3 linked regions of the Sus scrofa genome follow. The protein of the gene in region 2 interacts with the protein of the main gene of each other region in a biochemical or structural test. Links are inferred from orthologs where the notes say so. Each region holds a gene or a part of one and is shown on either strand. Other genes may lie near its edges. The genes, in order: NR0B2, EID1 and FBXO21.

The links.
Region 1: the proteins of EID1 (region 2) and NR0B2 form a complex in vitro, tested with the Homo sapiens proteins (3 studies listed by BioGRID). The link is inferred for Sus scrofa from reciprocal best matches to the Homo sapiens genes EID1 and NR0B2.
Region 3: of the proteins of EID1 (region 2) and FBXO21, one has a biochemical effect on the other in vitro, tested with the Homo sapiens proteins (2 studies listed by BioGRID, with this or other methods). The link is inferred for Sus scrofa from reciprocal best matches to the Homo sapiens genes EID1 and FBXO21.

Annotation. Positions count from the first base shown.
Region 1 is NC_010448.4:84,222,642-84,229,505, reverse strand, and holds NR0B2 (nuclear receptor subfamily 0 group B member 2), read right to left. Parts: upstream 3,837-6,864; 5' UTR 3,774-3,836; coding exon 3,233-3,773; intron 1,960-3,232; coding exon 1,718-1,959; 3' UTR 1,350-1,717; downstream 1-1,349. UniProt on the Homo sapiens protein: Transcriptional regulator that acts as a negative regulator of receptor-dependent signaling pathways. Specifically inhibits transactivation of the nuclear receptor with which it interacts.
Region 2 is NC_010443.5:122,808,927-122,815,459, forward strand, and holds EID1 (EP300-interacting inhibitor of differentiation 1), read right to left. Parts: upstream 3,556-6,533; 5' UTR 3,206-3,555; coding exon 2,630-3,205; 3' UTR 1,558-2,629; downstream 1-1,557. UniProt on the Homo sapiens protein: Interacts with RB1 and EP300 and acts as a repressor of MYOD1 transactivation. Inhibits EP300 and CBP histone acetyltransferase activity.
Region 3 is NC_010456.5:35,311,592-35,318,268, forward strand, and holds the start of FBXO21 (F-box only protein 21), read left to right. Parts: upstream 1-2,067; coding exon 2,068-2,306; intron 2,307-3,154; coding exon 3,155-3,290; intron 3,291-5,390; coding exon 5,391-5,485; intron 5,486-6,677. UniProt on the Homo sapiens protein: Substrate-recognition component of the SCF (SKP1-CUL1-F-box protein)-type E3 ubiquitin ligase complex.

The sequences.
Region 1 (6,864 bases), on a different chromosome or scaffold from region 2:
GTCCCTTTCCTAGGGGCCTTGGGGAGAGGTCTGAATGACAACTCCTAGACTGTTGTCCCTGAGTGAATGACCTCTTGTTGAGTAATAATTAACTTGGCCCCCCCCATGAGAAGACTCCAAACTGGTGGTGAGGGGGGCGAGGCCTGGTCCGGGGCAGGCCTCATTGCTGGAGAAAGGAGGAGGCCTGAAGGGGGTCCTATGGGCATGTGTGTTGTTATCGTTCCCTCCTGCCCCCCCCCCTGCAGGGCAGTGACCCTGACCTGGGTGATGTTCAAAATGTTTAACAAACAGTGAGGCACAGACATTGACCGGTCAGAACAGACGCAAGCCACGCACTGAATGGAACAGTTCCAGAGGCCATGGCTATGCCAAGCATTGCCTCTCTAGATGCTGGACCCGGGGATGGGTTCCAGGAGAAAGGCCAGCACAGAGGGGCAGTGGGAGGAAATACAGGGGCGCTCAGTGCAGTGGCTGCGAACCAACTGGCATGGAAGTGTTTCAAACTTAAACAGCTGGTGTGGCAGCTAAACCTCAGTTTGTCTTGGCCTCCTAACAGCTGCCAGGCCAGCCCTGGGTGCCCTTGTCCCCTCTCATTGGGGAAACAATGGACCACCCTCCTCTGTCAGCTGAAGCAATGAAGGAAGCAAATCAATAACCACCTCAGAAATTCCAGGAAACTGGCTGCTTCAATTTGGGGATGGTCTGTTTTATTTTCCTTTTTTTTTTTTTTTTTTGGTCTTTTTGCCATTTCTTGGGCCGTTCCCGTGGCATATGGAGGTTCCCAGGTTAGGGGTCGAATCGGAGCTGTAGCCACAGGCCTACGCCAGAGCCACAGCAACGCGGGATCCGAGCCGCGTCTGCAACCTACACCACAGCTCACGGCAATGCTGGATCGTTAACCCACTGAGCAAGGGCAGGGACCGAACCTGCAACCTCATGGTTCCTAGTCGGATTCTTAACCACTGCCACGATGGGAACTCCTCATTTTCCTTATTGGCTGGGATGCAGTTCTCACTGAGGTGAGAGGGAGCCTAGGGCGGGAGCTGGGGGAGGGGGTCAGCAGGGGATGGGGGCAGGGAGAGATACCTACTACCTTCTAAGATAAAGTCAAGGATGTGAGGGAGTCTTGAACTGATGCTGCCCCCTGGATTTAGACCCATGCAAAATAAATCGCATCCCCAGAAATGAAATCATCATTCCCCTCTGATATATTAAAATTCCAGTTTCCAGAGGTCTGACTGCTGTACACTTAGAGTTCCTTCTTCAGGGGCTCCCTCCTATAGGGGCAGGGCGGGGTAACCCCAGAGGTGAGGCGGTCCCCTCCACATGTACAAAATACAGCGTCAGGCTCCATGTGTGTCACACTTTTTATTACAAAAACCAATAACTTAAGTCAGTTCTGTACAAAGTCAGGAGGACTCCTGACCCAGTGAGCAGTCAGACTTTCCAACCCCATCCCAGGAGGAGACAGGAGTCTTGGCCCAAAGGTCCTGGGACCACCAAGGGCTGGCCAGACAGCTGGAGCACGGTGCCCAAAACAAGGAAGGCCAAGATAGGGTGTAGCCCAATTGGCTGGGCCAGGACTAGCTGCTCCTGGGGAGCCGAGAGCTCGCTGTCCAGGCTTGCCCCCTCTGGGAGCACCGGCTCACCCCTGGGGACAGCCAGGTCAAATCAGTGCTGCCAGCCTCCACCTGATCTCTGCCTGGGCTGGAGCAGGTCAGCTCAGCAAAAGCATGTCCTCGAGGAGGCCAACGATGTCAACATCTCCAATGACAGGGCGAAAGAAGAGGTCCCCAAGCAGGGTGGGCGGAATGGACTTGAGGGTGGAGGCTGCGAGGAGAACACGAGCCAAGCGGCTTTGGCCTGCTGGGCACCAGGGCTCCAAGACCTCCCACAGCGCCTGGTGGGCCTCGTGCTGCAGGTGCCCGATGTGGGAGGAGGCATAGAGGCCTGGAACATCTGCGGGCAGAGAAGGCAAAGAGGGCTGGTGAGGACCCTGCTCCGACACCACAGGATAAGACTGGCCCAAGACCTGAGGCCGCCAGCTCAGCTTTTGGGACCCTATTTCTATCTCGAGTTACTTATCCATCACTTTATTCATTGCTCCTTTATGGTGAGGTAGTATAGAGCAATGGTTAAGACCCAGGCCACCTGGGTTTGAATCCCACACTATCATTATTAGCTATGTGGCCTTGGGAAAGTTACTCAATCTCTGTGCCTCTGTTTCCTCATTTGTAAAATGGGAATAAATAATAAAATGATAGGAGTTACTGTCGTGGCTCAGCAGTTAACGAACCCGACTAGCACCCGTGAGGATGCAAGTTTGACCCCTGGCCTCCCTTGGTGGGTTAAGGATCCCGCACTGACAGGAGCTGTGACATAGGTCAAAGATGCGGCTCGGATCCCGCATTGCCATGGCTCTGGCATAGGTGGGTGGCTACAGCTCCGATTGGACCCCTAACCTGGGAGCCTCCATGTGCCATGGGTGCGGCCCTAGAAAGACAAAAAGGCAAATAAGGATAATAATAATAATGATAATGATAACAAAATGATAAAATGGGTATAAAAACCTATCTTCTAGACTTGTTATGAGGTTTGAATGAGCCAGTACATGTCAAACCCTTAGCACTGGACTGAACATACGGTAAGCGTAATATGAGTATTTGTTACTATTGTTCTAAACAATTTCTTTGATAATGTATCCCATGAAGGCCTTTTGGGGAGACATTCTCATCTAGGTGCTCTCCAGATAACAAAGACACTACCTCTATCTGTGCTCTCCCGGCTGAAGTTTACACAGACTCCTCCCTCTCCTCCCCCACATCCCTCGTTTTCATTCCTCTTCTATGCATGGTCTTTCTGGACCCACGGACTTGCACCTTCAGAATATCTTCATGCCATCAGCTGGTGAAGACATGACTGAGGTACAGTTGTGTCTGTCCACCCTCCCTTTCAGGACTCCCGCCTTCCCTGAGGGTCAGGACAAGGTTCTGGGGCAGAGTGGCTGAAGTGAAGAGACCCAAGTTCCCATCCTTGCTCTGCCCCTCCCTGGCTGTGTGACTTTCAGCGAGTCACTTAGCCTCTCTGAGCCCCTTTTGTGAGATGACTCTTTGGTGGTGATAATGAGGACCCAAAAAAGACAACGGGTGTCAAGCCTTTAGAAGGCGCCCTCCTGGCTAAGCCCTGGCCCCCTCCAGCCTCGGCCCCCATCCAGGAGTGTCTAGGAGCTCACCAGGGTTGAAGAGAATGGTCCCTTTCAGGTAGGCGTATTCCTTGGGGCCCAGCTCCAGACTCCATAAGGACTCCAGGCAGCACTGAAGCCACTGCACGGCAGCCAGCGAGGGCTGGGGCCGATCCAGCGGCTGGCCACTACCTGCGCCGCTGCTGGGCTCCTCCAGCAGGATCTTCTTGAGTATACTGGGAACTGGGACCTCGGCCACCTCGAAGGTCACAATGTCTTGGGCCAAACCAAGCAGGAAGAGGGGACCCCAGCAGCCCCGCAGCAGCTGCCGCTGATCCTGGGGAGGCAGCTGGCAGAAAGACGGCAAGTTCCTGAGGAAGGCCAGCGTCTTGGCCAGAACATTCAAAGCCTCCTGGCAGGTGCGATGGGGGGTACAGAGCCGGACAGGCCGGTGCTGCCTGCACAGGCAGTGGCTGCGGGCTGGGGGCACAGACGGCCGGTCCCTGTCGCTGGGGCTCAGAAGTGCATACAGAATGGTTGGGCGGCCTGCTGCACTCTGGCATGGGCAGGTCCCTGGCTGCCTGGAGCTCATGATTGAGGCTCTGCTCCTGCTTCCTCCCGGCTCTCCCCTGCCCTCTGCTCTGTGCTATGGGTGCTATTTATATCCCCCCATGGGGGAGGGCGGGGGAATGGCCCAACAACCTTGACTCCAGAAGTCATGTTCATTGAAAAAAAAAGAAACACACACTGACCCTGGCAGGACCGGTGAGGAAGTGAGGGGGGAGGGGGCCTTGGAACTCCACGTGGCTCTGATATCGCTTCAGTCAATGAAGCGGCGGGTGCAGGGCAAGAGCCGCCTGCCTGCTGGCCGGGCTGCCCTTTGTCAGATGATTCAAGTGGATAAACAGGGTCATTAACCCAGGCTGTACCAGGGCACCAAGGCCTCAGGTGCATGATTGCACCCGATTGCAGGTGGCCGTGGCAGGTGTCCCTGTTGGTGCCAGCAGGACTCTTGCTCGACTGGGAAGCCAGCCCCAGACCGGGACAAGCCTTGAACACAAGGCCCAACCTGGAAGCGCCTTATCACTTGCTTGTTTGCCTAACCTTGGGGCCCTGCTCCCGTTGTCAGTAAGGAACAACCTGCAGGGAAGGGAGCCAGGACCCTGGGGGGCTGGGAGGACTTTGCCCACTTTGCAGTCAAGGAGGCCCCTTTCCTCTGACTCCAGTTCTGGGGGGTCCTGCACGAATAAGATCCTTAAGAAGTCTTTCTCCCCAGCCTGGATTCCTGGAGACCCTGAAGGGCTATATCTGCTGAGAAGCCTTTGCAGAATGATAATGAAATACTGCTGCTATTTACTACATGCCAGGCACTTTCCACTCTCTTATTCAAAGCTGCCCTATAAGATTCCAAACCTTTTTTTTTTTTTTTTTGTCTTTTTTAAGGTCACACCCACAGCATATGGAAGTTCTTAGGCCAGGCGGTCAAATCAGAACTGCAGCTGCCTGCCTACACTACAGCCACAGCAATGCGGAATCTGAGCCAAGTCTGTGACCTACACCACAGCTTGAGGCAAGGCTGTTTCCTTAACCCACTGAGCAAGGCAGGGATCGAACCTGCATTCTCATGGATACTAGTTTGTTTCTTATCCCACTGAACCACAACAGGAGCTCCCAAGATTCTTACTTTTTGAGACTCAAAGAGGTGAAGTGACTTGCCCAAGTTCAAACCACTGAGAAGAGACAGAGCCCAGATCAGTCTGACTCCAAAATCCTCACTTGTTGCCCTGGACCCTCTGGCCCAATTGGGCAGCCAGAGCTGTGGGGCCTGGGTCTCCCAGAGCTCATGACCACCTGGGCCCCCACCTCTGCTTCTTGGTCTGCAGATGTTGCCCATGTGATCTGGGCAGAAATGTTGCTCTGCTGCCAGCTAGCCACACGGCTCCCCTGTCCCTGGCATCTGTTTCTGACGTCGGGAGGGCTGTTGGGACGGTCCTTGGCTGTGTCATATCTGTGGACCTTGGCAAGCCCAGCCTGGCAAGCCTTCTGCTAACACACTACTGGGCAGCCATTGCCATCCCTGGCATCAGCTCCTGGCTCTATCACTTTCCAATAGTGTGACTGTGGGCTGAACCCCAAATCTCCTGTGGGCCTCAGGATCCTCAGCTGAGACAATACCTGCCTATGGGGCAGCTGTGAGGACATAGTGAGGTCCGAGGCATCAGATTCCAAGCAGTTTCTAGCATATATTAGACTTTGCTCCCCCTTTCCTCTGCCTAAGGAACTAAGGCAAACAGACCCCAGCAGACAGGCACACATCTCTCCTGTGATTACAATAACATAACAATCTTAATCATTCCACATATAAAGTTGCTTTAACATCCTTTTATCTCACTGGGTCCTCAGAGCATCCCCTCTAAGGAGACTCTAGGGTCAGACTGGCTGGGTCCAAACCCTTTTTCATTATTTAATTGAGCCACCTTGGGCCTTGGGCGCAAGTCACTTTATATTTCTGGGCCTCAGTTTTCTCATATTTAAAAGGGTAGTAAGAAGATCCCATTGTGGCTCAGCAGTAACGAACTCGACTAGTTACCATAAGGATGCAAGTTCGATCCCTGGCGTTGCTCAATGGGCTAAGGATCCATCGTTGCCATGAGCTGTGGTATTGACTGCAGATGCAGCTTGGATCTTGCATTGCTGTGGCTGTGGGGTAGGCCGGCAGCTACAGCTCCGATTCAGCCCCTAGCCTGGGAACTTCCATATGCTTCAGATTAAAAAAATTAAAAAGGGTAGTAAGAAAGGCCACTAGTGAATATTGGTCTTAGGGCCCTGAAGCTTATACAGTTTTGTAGGGCCGTCTTTAAGAATAGAAAATCAGGGATCCCCTCTGATGCAGTGGGTTAAGGATCCAGCTCAGGTTGCTGCTATGGCATGGGTTTGATCTCTGACCTGGGAACTTCCACATGCCATGGGCCTGGCTAAAAAAAAAAAGAATAGGAGTTCCCGTCGTGGCACAGTGGTTAACGAATCCAACTAGGAACCATGAGGTTGTGGGTTCGGTCCCTGCCCTTGCTCAGTGGGTTAACGATCCGGTGTTGCCGTGAGCTGTGGTGTAGGTTGCAGATGCAACTCGGATTCCGCGTTGCTGTGGTTCTGGTGTAGGCCGGTGGCTGCAGCTCTGGTTGGACCCCTAGCCTGGGAATCCCCATATGCCTCGGGAGCAGCCCAAGAAATAGCAAAAAAAAAGACAAAAAAAAAAAAAAAAAAAAAAAGAATAGAGGGGAATCCCTGTTGTGGCGCAGTGGAAACAATCCGACTAGTAACCATGAGGTTGCAGGTTTGATCCCTGGCCTTGCATTGCCATGAGCTGTGGTTCAGATCTCAGATCCAGCGCTGCTGTGGCTGTGGCTATAGCCAGCAACTGTGGCTCTGATTTGACCCCTAGCCTGGGAACCCTCATATGCTGCTAGTGTGACCCTACAAAGAAAAAAAAATAAAGAATAGAAAATCAGGTGTGAAAATGAATATTTAATAAATGAGAAAACAAATCCTAACAAATTACAAAGTAAAATAAGCTGACAGAAAACAGACACCACAAACCCAGGATAATAACAAAGTGCTTGTACTGATCAATTACCTAACCATATTTGTCAACACCAGATCCTTGATTCACTGAGCGAGGCCAG
Region 2 (6,533 bases):
AATTAAGGAGTTCCCACTGTGGCTCAGTGGAAATGAATCTGATTAGTATCCATGAGAATGCAGTTTGGAACCCTGGCCTTGCTCAGTGCGTTAAGGATCCCACTTTGCTATGGCTGTGGCTGGCAGCTACAGCTCATATTTGACCCATAGCTTTGAACCTCCATGTGCTACAGGTACAGCCCTTGAAAAATAAAAAAAGAAATTAAAACTATAAGCATAAGCTAAACAAAACAGATCTGTGTTCTTGAGGGCAGCCAATGTGGGCCATTTGATTTAAGCAAATATTTATAGTAAATGTGCATAGACCACAAAAGCTGTCTCCAGATCACACTACACACTCATGAATTTCTCTGAGTTCTCTCTCATCATTCCACATCCCACCCTCTCCCCCCATCAAAGAACCAGGATTAGAATTTCCCCAGAACTCTCTTCTTTAGTTTATCTATTTATATATAGATATGTATATCTTCATTAAATCCTCAGTTTGTAAGTTCCATCCAGTTATTCTTGTTCTTAGTTTGGGATCCTGAGGCAGAGAGATTAATTTACTCAGTTGCAGAGCTAGTAAGGATTGGAAGACAGATTTGAATCTGTGTATAACTGTTAACATTGAAAAATATTACCATTTTTTATCTTTGGTAAATATTAACAAGTGTTAATTTCAGTGATCACTCAGGTTACTGCCTATTTTTAAGACCAACAAACCAATCATCAGAGGAGTGAGTTGCAGAGTCTAGGTCTTTCTCCCCTAAATAAGCCTTCAAACCCAACAGGGAGTGGTCCCCCCCACCCCCTTCCTCCCGACTCAGTCTCTAAGAGAAACAGAGGAACACTTCCCAGTTTGTACATGTTTTTTCTGAACCTATTTCCTGGCATCTTTATCTGGAGGTAAATGCAACTAGTCAGTTCATGTGTACTCAACCCATTTTATGCTTTTTCCAGCGTACTGTTAATTCATATCCCACAAGCAATTATCTCCCCAAACTCTTAAGACTGCATCTACAAGCAGTGTCAATATGTAATGAAAGTAAGCCATGGGAGAAGTAGTAAAGACATTTGAGTGCCACAGTTTAACCTCTTTCCCCACCTCTGCTCCCATGCTAGTGTTTGAATTATGATCATCCTTACTTGCTAGTTCTGTAATTTACAGAGAAGAATCCCCTTCCCTGAAAGACAGGATAACTGTAACATAAGTAGGCTCTGAGTGGTCGTGTTGTATTGGCTGTGTCCTTTACTGCCATAATGGAGCAAAAACATCTGGTACTTTTTCACTGGGCACAGCCTTCTGACTGCTATTCACATAGAACTTCAGCAATATGCTTATTGATTTGGTAGGTTGTCCCAGGTTGGTCAATTCTCTTATGGGAATTTACTAAGTTTAATTTCCACCAATTAATTTGTAAATCAGGTATGTGAAGCTAGAGAACTTTCCCTTTTTGTTTTTTTTTTAGTGGTTAAATTTAAATCATAAAGTGGTTGCGCCCATACATTAAAGTAGTATATAATACAATAAAAGTAGAATTAGAGAAAGTATGTATGCAATACCATTAGACAAAATACACAGAACAAGAAATTTTTATTATCTGGAATGCTGGTGCATAACCAATAACAAGCTTAATTAGAGGAGGAGACAGAGGAAAAACTTCAGATACTGAGGTGAATTTCTGGGCAGGTTTAAAACCCTTAAGGGCTGACAGCATAATTGTTCATAAAGTCTTTTGTAGATGTAGGGCTCTCCTTTTACTTGACAGTTTTCAGTTAACAGTTCTTATATTATGAAGTTCAACCAAAGTCTTTTGCCTGTAAAGTTACATGAAAAACAAAGAGCAAGTAAAACAGAAAATTTCTCTAGTATATAAAGATGTTAGTTTTCTTTGTACTTTGACATTCTTAGTTTGAAACTTTATTAAGGACGTCTTAATTTTTGACTTTTAAAAATGGTCAAGACGGTAAATTTTCTTGAATTCAAGATTACAGTAGTGTTATAAATGATCAAGATATATGTACAAACAATATCTCAGATGCTCTTGGAAACACGCTTTAAGATATAGCACACATGATACACATTTCTTTGGAGGCTCGATTATTCTTTTGCAATACTGAAGAATACTCAATTTACCTTTCGCTAAAAATTTAGCCTTTGGATAATAACTACAGCTTGGCTTAGATGAATCACAAAATGACATCTTCAGTATGCTTTCAGTCCAAATAACTCAGACATGTGGTGTCCAAAGTTGGATAAATTAGTTACTTTTTCTCATATGATTAACATCAGTGGGCTCTTGTACCGGCCATGTGTCTTGGTTTTTCTTGCAAAGCCATCCGGAAATGTGAAAGATACTTTCCCAAATGCAAGGAAATTAATCTAGATCAGTAACAGAGTCAAAGCCACAAGTGTTTCACGACATTCTTGAAAACAGGTTTCAACAGTACTGAGATCCTTTTCCTTTAACAATTTTCTTCCTTTCCCATAACTGTGAAGTCACTTTCCTAGTCTACACTGCCCCCCCCCCCATTTTTTCTTTTGGATCAAGTGTTTCATTGGCACGGAACTATTCGGAATGAACCCAAGAGACTGGAATGTTGTTGGGTCTCTCCTCAAGTAGTTTCCTCCTCTCTTCACAGCATACTACTCTCTATCAATAATCTCATCACAGCCGAGTTCTTCGGTCAGACGATTGACAACCATAAGTGAAAAAAGCTCCTCGATAAAAGCCAACTGATCGAACGGGGTCTTCTCATAATGCATCTGAAATCCGCCCCCCAGAGCTGCTTCTCTCGCTCTGGAGGTCCTCAGAAACATCTTGTTGGCTTCTTCCAGGGCCGCTGAGACTCTGTAGCCCGCACCACTCAGCTGCTCCTCTTCCGGATAGTCGTAGTCGTCCTCCCAGTCATCAAATTCCTCGCCCTCGTCCTCGCTCTCGAAATCAGGGCCCGCGATCTGGCCCGGGCGCTCCCCAGGGTTGGGCCGGTTAGCGAGGCCTCGCTGCCCCTGCGGCTCCGCCATTGGCTGGGCCACCTCCTCCTCCATTGGGCCTTCCTCCTCCAGCTGTGGCGGGGCCCCGGAGCGGGAGGGGTTCGGGGACGGCCCCCGGCTCCCGCTGCCTACCTCCATTTGCGGAAGGTCGCTCTCGCCGGGCATCACATCCATCTGCAGGTCATTGCTCTCCTCATAAAGCTCGGACAGCTCGTGCATTTCCGACATTGTGCAATCGGCTAGACCTCTCGCCAAGCGTTTTCTGCAAGATCTGGGCTACGCGGCCGCGCGGTTGTGCGCTTGCGCACACGCCGTGGGCTTGCGTGACCTTGAGCGTGTGCGCGACCCCCAGAAATCGCCTCCTGCTTGGCGCGCTGCTCAGTCGGCAACCGCTAGCTGTTCGCTCCTGGGGACTTACGGGACCTTGGTCCTTTCAGACTAAATACACTTACAAACGAGAGCATTGCTTAGCCCCTGCCTTACTTAGTCATTCTGCTTCTGATGCTGTAATCTTGAAAACACTTTACACATCTTCTGTAACACCCCTTAACCCTCCTCCTCCATCGCCTTCCTCCTTCCTCCCTCCGCTTTTCGCTCCTCCTCCTTCCCCCATCCCCAGGCAATCACATCTTCTCCTAGGTTTTAACTACTTTTTTCTAGGCGCAAATGACTGCTAAATCTGCACCTCCAAAGCAAAAGATGTTCTGAACCACAGAGCAATATATTAAGAATTGATCCATCCATCTCTAATATTAAAAAAAAGTTAAATGAACAAATAAGCATATTAAAGGTGTTCTACAAAGAAAAAATAAATAGAAGAAATACTTGCTCCTGTTTCTTTTTGCAGGAGACATAACCTTACACTGTTAGCAATTCGGTGTATATTCTTTAAATTCCCTCCCCCCCTTTCTTTGCATTTACGTGGATCTCTCTATTGTCTTCTGGAAAAGTCTTTTTTTTTTTTTTTTCTTTTTACATATCTTAACATAATTGTCTTCAACTTTCAAAACAAGGAAACGAAAAAGCCCTCAGCAATGTCTTGAAGATTTAGCAGTGTTAGTGTCCACAGACATGTGTTTTTCCTAGTATGCTACTTGTATAGCAATGTTGCAAATGACCTAACAATGCACAAATAATTTTATAATTTTTGATATTTAAAATTATGGGTAAAAAAAAAAAAAGAAAAAACTATGGGTAAATGAACATCCCCAAATGACAATATTTCTCTCAAATGAAAACCTAGAAGTGCAAAGGTGAAATTGTAGGGTATTCATCCTTTAGTTTTAATAAATGTCAAATTGCTCTTCAAAGTTGCTGTGCAAATTTAGGCTCTAGCCAGCCATATTTGAGAATATCCACACCCTTGCCACACATTATTTTGTTGATTGTTAACAATTTTATCACTTAAAGGTGTATTATTTTATTTTTCATAGTCTTATTACTTGGAAATTATCTTTCAATATGTTTAGTGAACCTATGTATTACTTCTGAAAATTAAATGGTCTTATTTTAGGTTTGTTTATTTTTCTTATTGATGTAGGAATTTCTTATAAACTGAGTGTATGAATACTTTGTTTCACATGTTGCAAACATTTTCTCCCTGCCTCTTGTTTCTTGTTTCAAGGGTCTTTTAAAAAATGTTTTATTGAAGCATAGTTGATATATAATGTTGTGTTAATTTCTGCTGTATAGCACAGTGGTTCAATTGTACATATAAACATATCCTTTCTTTTTCAGATTCTTTTCCCATATAGGTTATCACAGAATATTGAGTAGAGTTCCCTGTGCTATACAGCAGGTCTCCAGTGACCATCCATTTCATATACAATTGTGTCCATATGCCAATCCCAAACCACCAATCCATCCCTCCCCCCATCTTTCCCCTTTGGTAACTATAACTGTTTTCGAAGTCTGTGAGTTTGTTTCTGTTTTGTAAATAAGCTCATTTTTTATCATTTTTTTAGAGTTCATATATATAAGTGATATCATATGTTTGTCTTTCTCTGTCTAACTTACCTCTGTATGATAATCTCTAGTATCATCCACGTTGCTGCAAATGGCATTATTTCATTCTTTTTTATATCTGAGTAATATTCTATTGTATCTTTATTCATTCATCTGGCAGTAGACATCTAGGTTGCTTTCATGTCTTGGCTATTGTGAATAGTTCCGCTATGAACATTGGGAAGCATGTTGCCCAGGAGTGGGATTACTGGGTCATATATTAGTTTTAATTTTAGTTTTTTGAGGAACCTCCATGCTGTATTCCATAGTGGTTGTACCAGTTTATATTCTCAGGGCTCTTTTCTTACATAAAAGTTTAAAAGTGAATTTTCATGTAATCAAATTTAAGGATTTCTTTCCTGTATGTCTTATTTCTTTCTATTTACCTATCTCAAAGGTCATAAGCATAATCTTTTATCTGTCTTCTAACAAAAGACCTTTGTATAAATCCTTTATGGATCAAACATTTATTTATATAAATAATATGAGGATAGGCTTTATTTATATATGTTTTCCATGTATGTAGCTAATTCAGCTAACTGCACTAATTTAACCATTTGTCCTTTTTTCTGCTCTTTGGTGCCACATTTATCATAGACTAAAAGACCACAAAAGTGTGAATCTGTTTTTAGACTTTGCACACTAATGAATTTCTATAGTTTTATGTCTTGCTAATGAGGAAAATCTTATCTCTTTGTTCTTTAAAACACTGCCTCAGATCTTTTTGCACATTTATTCTTTCATGTGAATTTTACAAGTAGTTTGAAAAGTTCCCTGAATGACATTGGTGGAATTTTCATTGGAATGCATGGAATTTATAGATTAGTTTTGGGGGAGAATTGACATATTTATAATACTGTCTTTCATCCATAAAGGTGATATATGTCTTTCTTCTTGCTCAGGTCCTCCTTATATGCTTCAATGAAGTTTTCCAAAAAGTCTTATGTGATTCTCATTAGTTTTATACTTTGGTTCTCTTGTAAAATGTACCTCCCCAAATATTGACTATTGCTGATATATGGAATAACATTGATCTTTGCATATTGACTTTGTTTTTACTAATCACCTTTAACTGAAATAGAAGTAACAGAAAGCATAAATATAAAAAAGTGTACAAATCATGATGGTATATCTTGATTATCACAAAATGAACATATTTGTGTAACTTCAACTCAGATCAAGGAACACCATTTTCAGGATCCCAGAAAACCACTTCCTTTCTCTTCCTTTGTCCCAAAAGTCACCACTGTCCTGATTTCAACCAGAATGAAATAATTTTGCCTGTTTTTGAACTTTCTATTAGTTTAACTATGCAGTATACAATCTTGTGCCTAGCTATTTTTGCCCAAGAAATATGTTGTTGCTCTGTAGTAATCCATTGTTTGATCATCATTGGGGTTATAATGAATGAGGCAATAATCAGCTTTCTTGAGAAGCTCTTTTGTATTTACACAACCTTTTGGGCCACACCCACAGCACATGGAGGGCCCCAGGCTAGGGGTCAAATCAGAGCTACAGCTGCCAGCCTGCACCACAGCCACAGCCATGCCAG
Region 3 (6,677 bases), on a different chromosome or scaffold from region 2:
CTTTACATAATGTACTCATTTAATTCTCACAACAGTCCCAGGAGGCCAGCATTATTATTACCCCCATTTTAAAAACTGGGCATCAGAAGGCCACGTCACTGGCTCTTGCTAAACAGCTAGTTAGACAATTGCCATCAAGAGATAATTATTGAGGGGCTGCTCGGTACAAGGCCTTGGGCCAAATGCGTGGGCATCCACAGGTGAATCAAAGACAGGCCTGATCCTCAAGCTGCTTCTGATCCAGTGGGAAAGATGAAGATCAAACAAATAGTGCAATTAAGTAATCATTGCAAGCCTGTAACATGCTGTGAAGGGGCTGGATCTGGTTCTGGCGCTGGGGTGGGGGAAGGGGAGGGCATCTGGAGAGGTTCGGCTAAGTCCTGGAAGACAAGGAGGAGGAGCTAAAAGGAGGACGTGCTGGCACAAAGCACATTCCAGGCCATGGAAACAGTATATATGTGAAGGCCAGAAGTGGGAGGAAAGACCCCAGCCTGGCTACAGTGAGGCTAGTGAGGGAGAGAATGGCTTCAGATAAGCAAGGAGAGGAAGATAGGAGTCTGTCCCTTTGCAACAATGTTAGGGATTTTGGATTTCTCTTCCTTTCTTCCTCCCTTCTTTTCTTTTTTTTTTTTAAATGGCTACACCCTTGACATATGGAAATTCCCAGGCTAGGGGTTGAATAGGAGCTGCAGCTGCTGGCCAGAGCAAGTCACATGTACAACCTACACATCAGCTAGCAGCAATGCTGCCAGATCCTTAACCCAGTGAGGTCAAGGATTGAACCTACATCCTCACAGACACTATGTAGGGTTCTTAACCTGCTGAGCCACAAGGCGAACTCTTGGATTTGTTTCTTAGGGTAATAGGGAGTCATGGATGGCTCAACACCATCCATTAAGAATAACTTTCCTAGTTCACCTCTCTCAGGGGATTCTGATTTCCAAATTGAGGGGAATACTATATTGAGCCTCCCTGGACTGACAACAGATTGTACTTGCATGTCCCCCCACCCCCCCAATTGTACTCTGAGTTCCTGGAAGGCAAAGATCCTGTCTTTTTCACTTCTATCACCAGGGCATACAGCACAGAGCCTGGCACTAAACTAAACCGAGTTTAAAAAATTAATAAATAGGAGTTCCTGTTGTGATGCTGTGGTAACGAACGCGCTAGTATCCATGAAGATGCGGGTTGGACCCCTGGCCTCACTCAGTGGGCTAGAAATCCACAGTTGCCCGCAAGCTGTGGTGTAGGTGGCAGTCGAGGCTCAGATCCCGTGTGGCTGTGGCTGCGATGTAGGCCAGCAGCTGCAGCTCAAATTCACCCCCTAGCCTGGGAACTTCCATATGCCAGGAATGTGGCCCTAAAAAGACAAAATAAACAATAGGTGCAGGCACGAGGAAAGAGTGTCCACTCAGTTGAGTGGGAAATCCTGTGCGCAGGATTCAAATCCAGGTTCTACCACTTTTTGCCTCTGTGACTTTGAAGCAGTGACTCCCACCCTTATGAGCCAGGTTTTCCTTATCTGTAGAATGGGTATAAAAATGATACGTATCACCTAGGGCTCAAATGAGGCATCCTTGAAGAACGTATGTAAAGCCCATGGCACAATCCCCACTCAAATATTGTTCGTTAGCATTACAGCACATTGGTTTAGCGTACAATCAAGCAGAGTCAAGCGGATCTGGATTAAAATCTAGGACAAGGGACTCTCAACAAGTCCTTTTATCTCCCTGAGCCTCAGTTTCCTGTAACTGGGGGGAGAATAACGGTTCATAGGGTTATTGGAAAGGTCTGATGAGCACATTCACAGGAAGCGCTCGGCACTCATAATAAAAATGGATGCTACTATGATTGTCCACTCACAGTTCCCGAGCCCACCGCGCTGTTATTTTCCAAAACGTATTTCTTTCCTTTGGCAGCATTGCAGCCCATCGAGAACTGATTGGACCGAGGAGGTGTGGTCACGTCGTGGGCGGGGTGACCCTGGAGCCCTCCCCTCGAGGCGGGTGGGCGGGGCGAGGGGGCGCCCTGGTGCGCGCGCGCGGCGGCCCCAGGTACGCAGACAAGATGGCGGCAGCAGCGGTCGATAGCGCGATGGAGGTGGTGCCGGCGCTGGCGGAGGAGGCCGCGCCCGAGGCGGCGGGCCTCAGCTGCCTCGTCAACCTGCCCGGCGAGGTGCTGGAGTACATTCTGTGCAGCGGCTCGCTGACGGCCGCCGACATAGGCCGCGTCTCTAGCACCTGCCGGCGGCTGCGCGAGCTGTGCCAGAGTAGCGGGAAGGTGTGGAAGGAACAGTTCCGGGTGAGGTGAGCCAGCGGCCCCGGCCGCCCGTGCCCCCACTCTGCGCCCCGGGGGCCCGGGCCCGGCAGCCCATAGCCGCCGCCTCCCTGCCAGCGCGCGGACCCCAGTCCCGGATCCCACCCCCGGACCCCTTCCCGGGGACGGACAGACAAAGGCCTCCAGGCCGCCGACCCCTCGGTCCACGCTGCACGGACCCGCCGGTGCCCAAATTGCGCATCGGGAAGCGCCCAGCAGCCGGGCCCTCCATAAAGGATGACGACTGTGGTATCACGACTCATCCTTTCTGCGCGCTGCTTTTGTGCCCGACTCAGTGCTAGAATGTTTACATGGACCCAGTGATGCAGTGATCCTAACAGCCCTTTGAGGAGCGGGCGCAGCATCTCCTGGCAGTTAGCTGAGAGCACAGATTTCGGTGTGGGACCGGGGATGAAATCTGGCCCTGACGTACTCCCCGTGTGACCTTGGGGGTAGCGACTTCCCTTTTTTGATCCTCATTCATCGACTTTAAACAGTGTTGATTAGACCTACCTTTGACTTTGGTTATTAGATGAGATGATGTGTAGGGAGTACTTACACCGGGCCCGGCTCTTAGGAGGCGCACAATTAATGTTAACTGTGATTGTCATCACTATGATTATTGTTGCTACGACTGTCCCCATTTTATAAATGGGGACTGGAAATGCAGTATTCCTATTGCCACGCCAAGGTCACGGCGTGAGCAAGTGCGTGCGTGCCGGGTGGAGATTTGAACTATCGCCAGGGCCCCTCTGACCCCTAAAACCAACTGTTTCCCAGTTTCCCAAGGCCGCCTTTGAGTCTCCGTTGCGCTGAGGGAGTGTTTCTCTCCTTGTAGGTGGCCTTCCCTTATGAAACACTACAGCCCCACCGACTACGTCAATTGGTTGGAGGAGTATAAAGTTCGGCAAAAAGCTGGGTTAGAAGCCCGGAAGATTGTAGCCTCATTCTCAAAGAGGTTCTTTTCCGAGCACGTAAGGATCTGTTGTTGGAGTTCTAAGCGTTTGCCTGTTCTCGGTGTTTGTGTCTGGGTCTGTAGGCATTAGCTCATCAGCTCTTTTTGCCATCTCCCTTTTCTGTGCCCTCACAATCCCTTACTCACTTCCATGGCTGCAAGAGTCATTGTGTCCTTTTCCTCCCATCCAACAACATGAAGCCATTTGTCCCTGCCAGCTTTACTTTTCTAAAGCCAGAGAGAATGGGGGGAGGGAGAGGGAGGAAGGGACCCGCAGCGCAATGTGGAGGGAATCCAGATCAGCATTATTCTCTTTAAGTGGGTTAAACATATATTTTTGCAACCTCCAGGTTACTGGGGGTGGGGGAGTGGGGGGAGATCATCGATGATTGAACACTGCAAATTTCACCCAGTTGTTTTCCCAGAAGGGTTGACAAAATTAATATGGTTCTTTCTGGCTTTGCAGGTTCTAACCAGTAGTGAACTGCGTTATTTGTTAAGGTAACAGAGGATTAAAAGCTACCTGTGAATGGAGAATCATTACTCCCGCAATTAAATTGTCTTGCATTCATTATCCCCCAAAAGATTTTTTTTTTTTAATTTTTTTATGTAATGCTGAAATGCATGGGTTGGTTGGTTTGTTTCCCTTCCACAAAGTGTCTCACAGAAGTTTCTGTATCAGGTCCTGATTCTTAACTTTTTGTAATTCTGGAAAATAGTGCACACTAATATTTTAAGTTTATTTTTGGTTGGAGGTCTAGAAATGAAACGGATCTGATTTATTTTAATATCCTCATTTACTGAAGTTTGATTCCTGTTTTCTAATTCTTTTTGTTTGTTTATTTTTGTTTTTGTTTTTTGGCATATGTAAGTGTCCAGGCCAGGGACCAAAGCCGAGCCACAGCTGCGACCTATGCCGCAGCTGTGGCAATGCTGGAGCCTTAACTGTGCCAGGCTGGGGATTGAACCTATGCCATTGCAGAGACGAAGCTGGATCCTGCTGCAGTACAGCGGGAACTTCCCTATTTTCTAATTTTAATTACTGTTATTTAATGGAGTTCATATATTTGAAATGTTTTCATGGCTTTTCAAGTTTTGAAAGGGAAAAGTTGGGCTTTGGGTAAATTTGAACTTATTCCCCCATAGAAATTAAAACTAGATATTCCCTAGTGTAATTCATTTCTATAAGTAAATGTTTCTTAAATGTTAGAGTGAACAAAATGTATATCCTACTTTGGATAAGCCATGCACTAGCTAAAAGCATTCATACCACACATTTTCCATACTGGTTTAAATGGATTTGCCCACACATATTGCCGGATGTATTTGATGCCCTTGGACGTGGGCTACTAGTTTGCGACCTCTAGTTAATAGTCGCAGCTGGTTTTGTGTGCAATTTTCACTGTCTGTGCCTTTGTCTAATAATGATGCATTGTTGTGTTTTTCCCTCAGTGCCCTCTTTCCCTGCACCTCTGCTTGATTAGAAGTGTGTCAAGGACTTTGAACATAGCAGGAGCATACTTAGGATTGATCTGTGGGTGGATGATTACTTTGGCTCAGGACCCTTGTATTTCTGTGTTCTCAGCGTGTACAGGTTGACATGAAATTTCCTGATTACTTTGAAAAAGGAAAGTGGGAGAGGTAGTAGAATTTTATGCTGAAGGGATCTTAAAGCTCATTGGTACCACCCCCTCAATTTACAGAGGGGAAAACATAAAGGGTCAAGAGTCGCCTGAAGCACTGGACTTCTCTGGCCCTCCACTCCTAGTTGAATTCAGTGTAGACTGCACAGAATAGTTATTGTTAATTAGGAGATTTTGTGTTTCTGGTCCTGATTTCAGAGTTATTTTTCTTCACATTTGAACTGAGTTATCACTTTCAGAAACTCCAGTCTTTGAAGATGTAAGTCATTTACAACTAACAGTATGATCTGAACAAACTATTGTTACTCCACAGGTTGCTTTCCACCCGTAGTGGGTGGGCAGTGCAAGATAGTGTGGGAGAGGTGTTACCACTTCTGTGAAAAAGAGCAGCTTTGTTTGCAACTCAGATTTGTGTGTGAGCATGACGATGACATTATTACTCATTACTGAGCCTCTTTGTATGTGTCTTTTCATAGGTCCCTTGTAACGGTTTTAGTGACATTGAGAATCTTGAGGGACCAGAGATATTTTTTGAGGATGAACTGGTGTGTATCCTAAATATGGAAGGAAGGTAAGCTGTAGTTTTATCCAGGATTTTGTTTGTTTTAATAATTACCCCAGAGTTAATTGCTGTAATTAGTATGTGGCTGAACTGTGGGACACATTTCCAAATATTTCATGTTACATTCATGTTGTTACAGTTAGATTTTTGAAAAATTTCCTCTGTACAAGGTAACTACACCAAGACAATTGATATGCAAAGAAACAGTTCAAAAATCCTTTCGGGAGAATTCATGTTTAGTCCTCCTTCGGGTCAAATACTGTACTCTGGGCACTTGTATCTATTATGGCATTTGGTTAATACAAATTATCCTTTCTTCGTTGTCACTTGTTCACCTACCACCACCAGATTTGCCTGTCGTGAATTGAATTCTTTAAAAAAAAGTTTCTCGTGTATGTCTTAATTTAATGGATAATATTTTACAATTTCTGGATTATGGTAAGAAATAATCTACTTCGCCCATGAACATTACAGATACTTGGTTGAGCCTTGCTTTTATCTCTCTCAATCAAGAGGAATCCATTATCTCTTGATTGTTGCTTAAAATTCTTTTATGCCTTATATTTTCTGAAGGTTAATTTCCAGTTTACCAGAAAGATGACTTGGCTTCCAGCCTAACTTACCTATGAAAAAGATTTTCTGCTCTAAAAGTTCTGGAAATTTTATTAACGATGGAAGATGAGTGCTAGTTTAACATCTTCAGAGAAATCATTGTGAAACATCTCACAAACAAGGCATAAGACATTGTTCTTATTGTTTTCAAGGGGGTTTAGGAGAGAGAACTATCTATCAGTGGAACAACTGTGAGGGAGAGGTAAGATGTGTCACTATTCTAGGCCTTGGATGAGTTCTGATGCAGAGGTCATTTTTCTGTTTCTATTTTGGTTTATCTATAAATGAATTAAGTGTGATCTAATAGTCAGTATTGTGCAGCCTTAAAAATAAAAGTCAACCTATCTCTTTTACATATATACACATAGACTTTTAAATTCGTAAATGTTACATCATACGTACTGAGTTTATCAGTCCTTTGGGGTTTGTTTTGATATTTAATGCAAACTGTCTTTTTCTTATTTATGCTGTTTTGTCCTTCCTCCCTTCTTCCATTTTTATTGGCCTTCCCTGACCCCATTCCCATAATTTATGATGACAATCTAGGTTATATGCTTCCATGCTAATATGATATACAGGGGGATGGAGT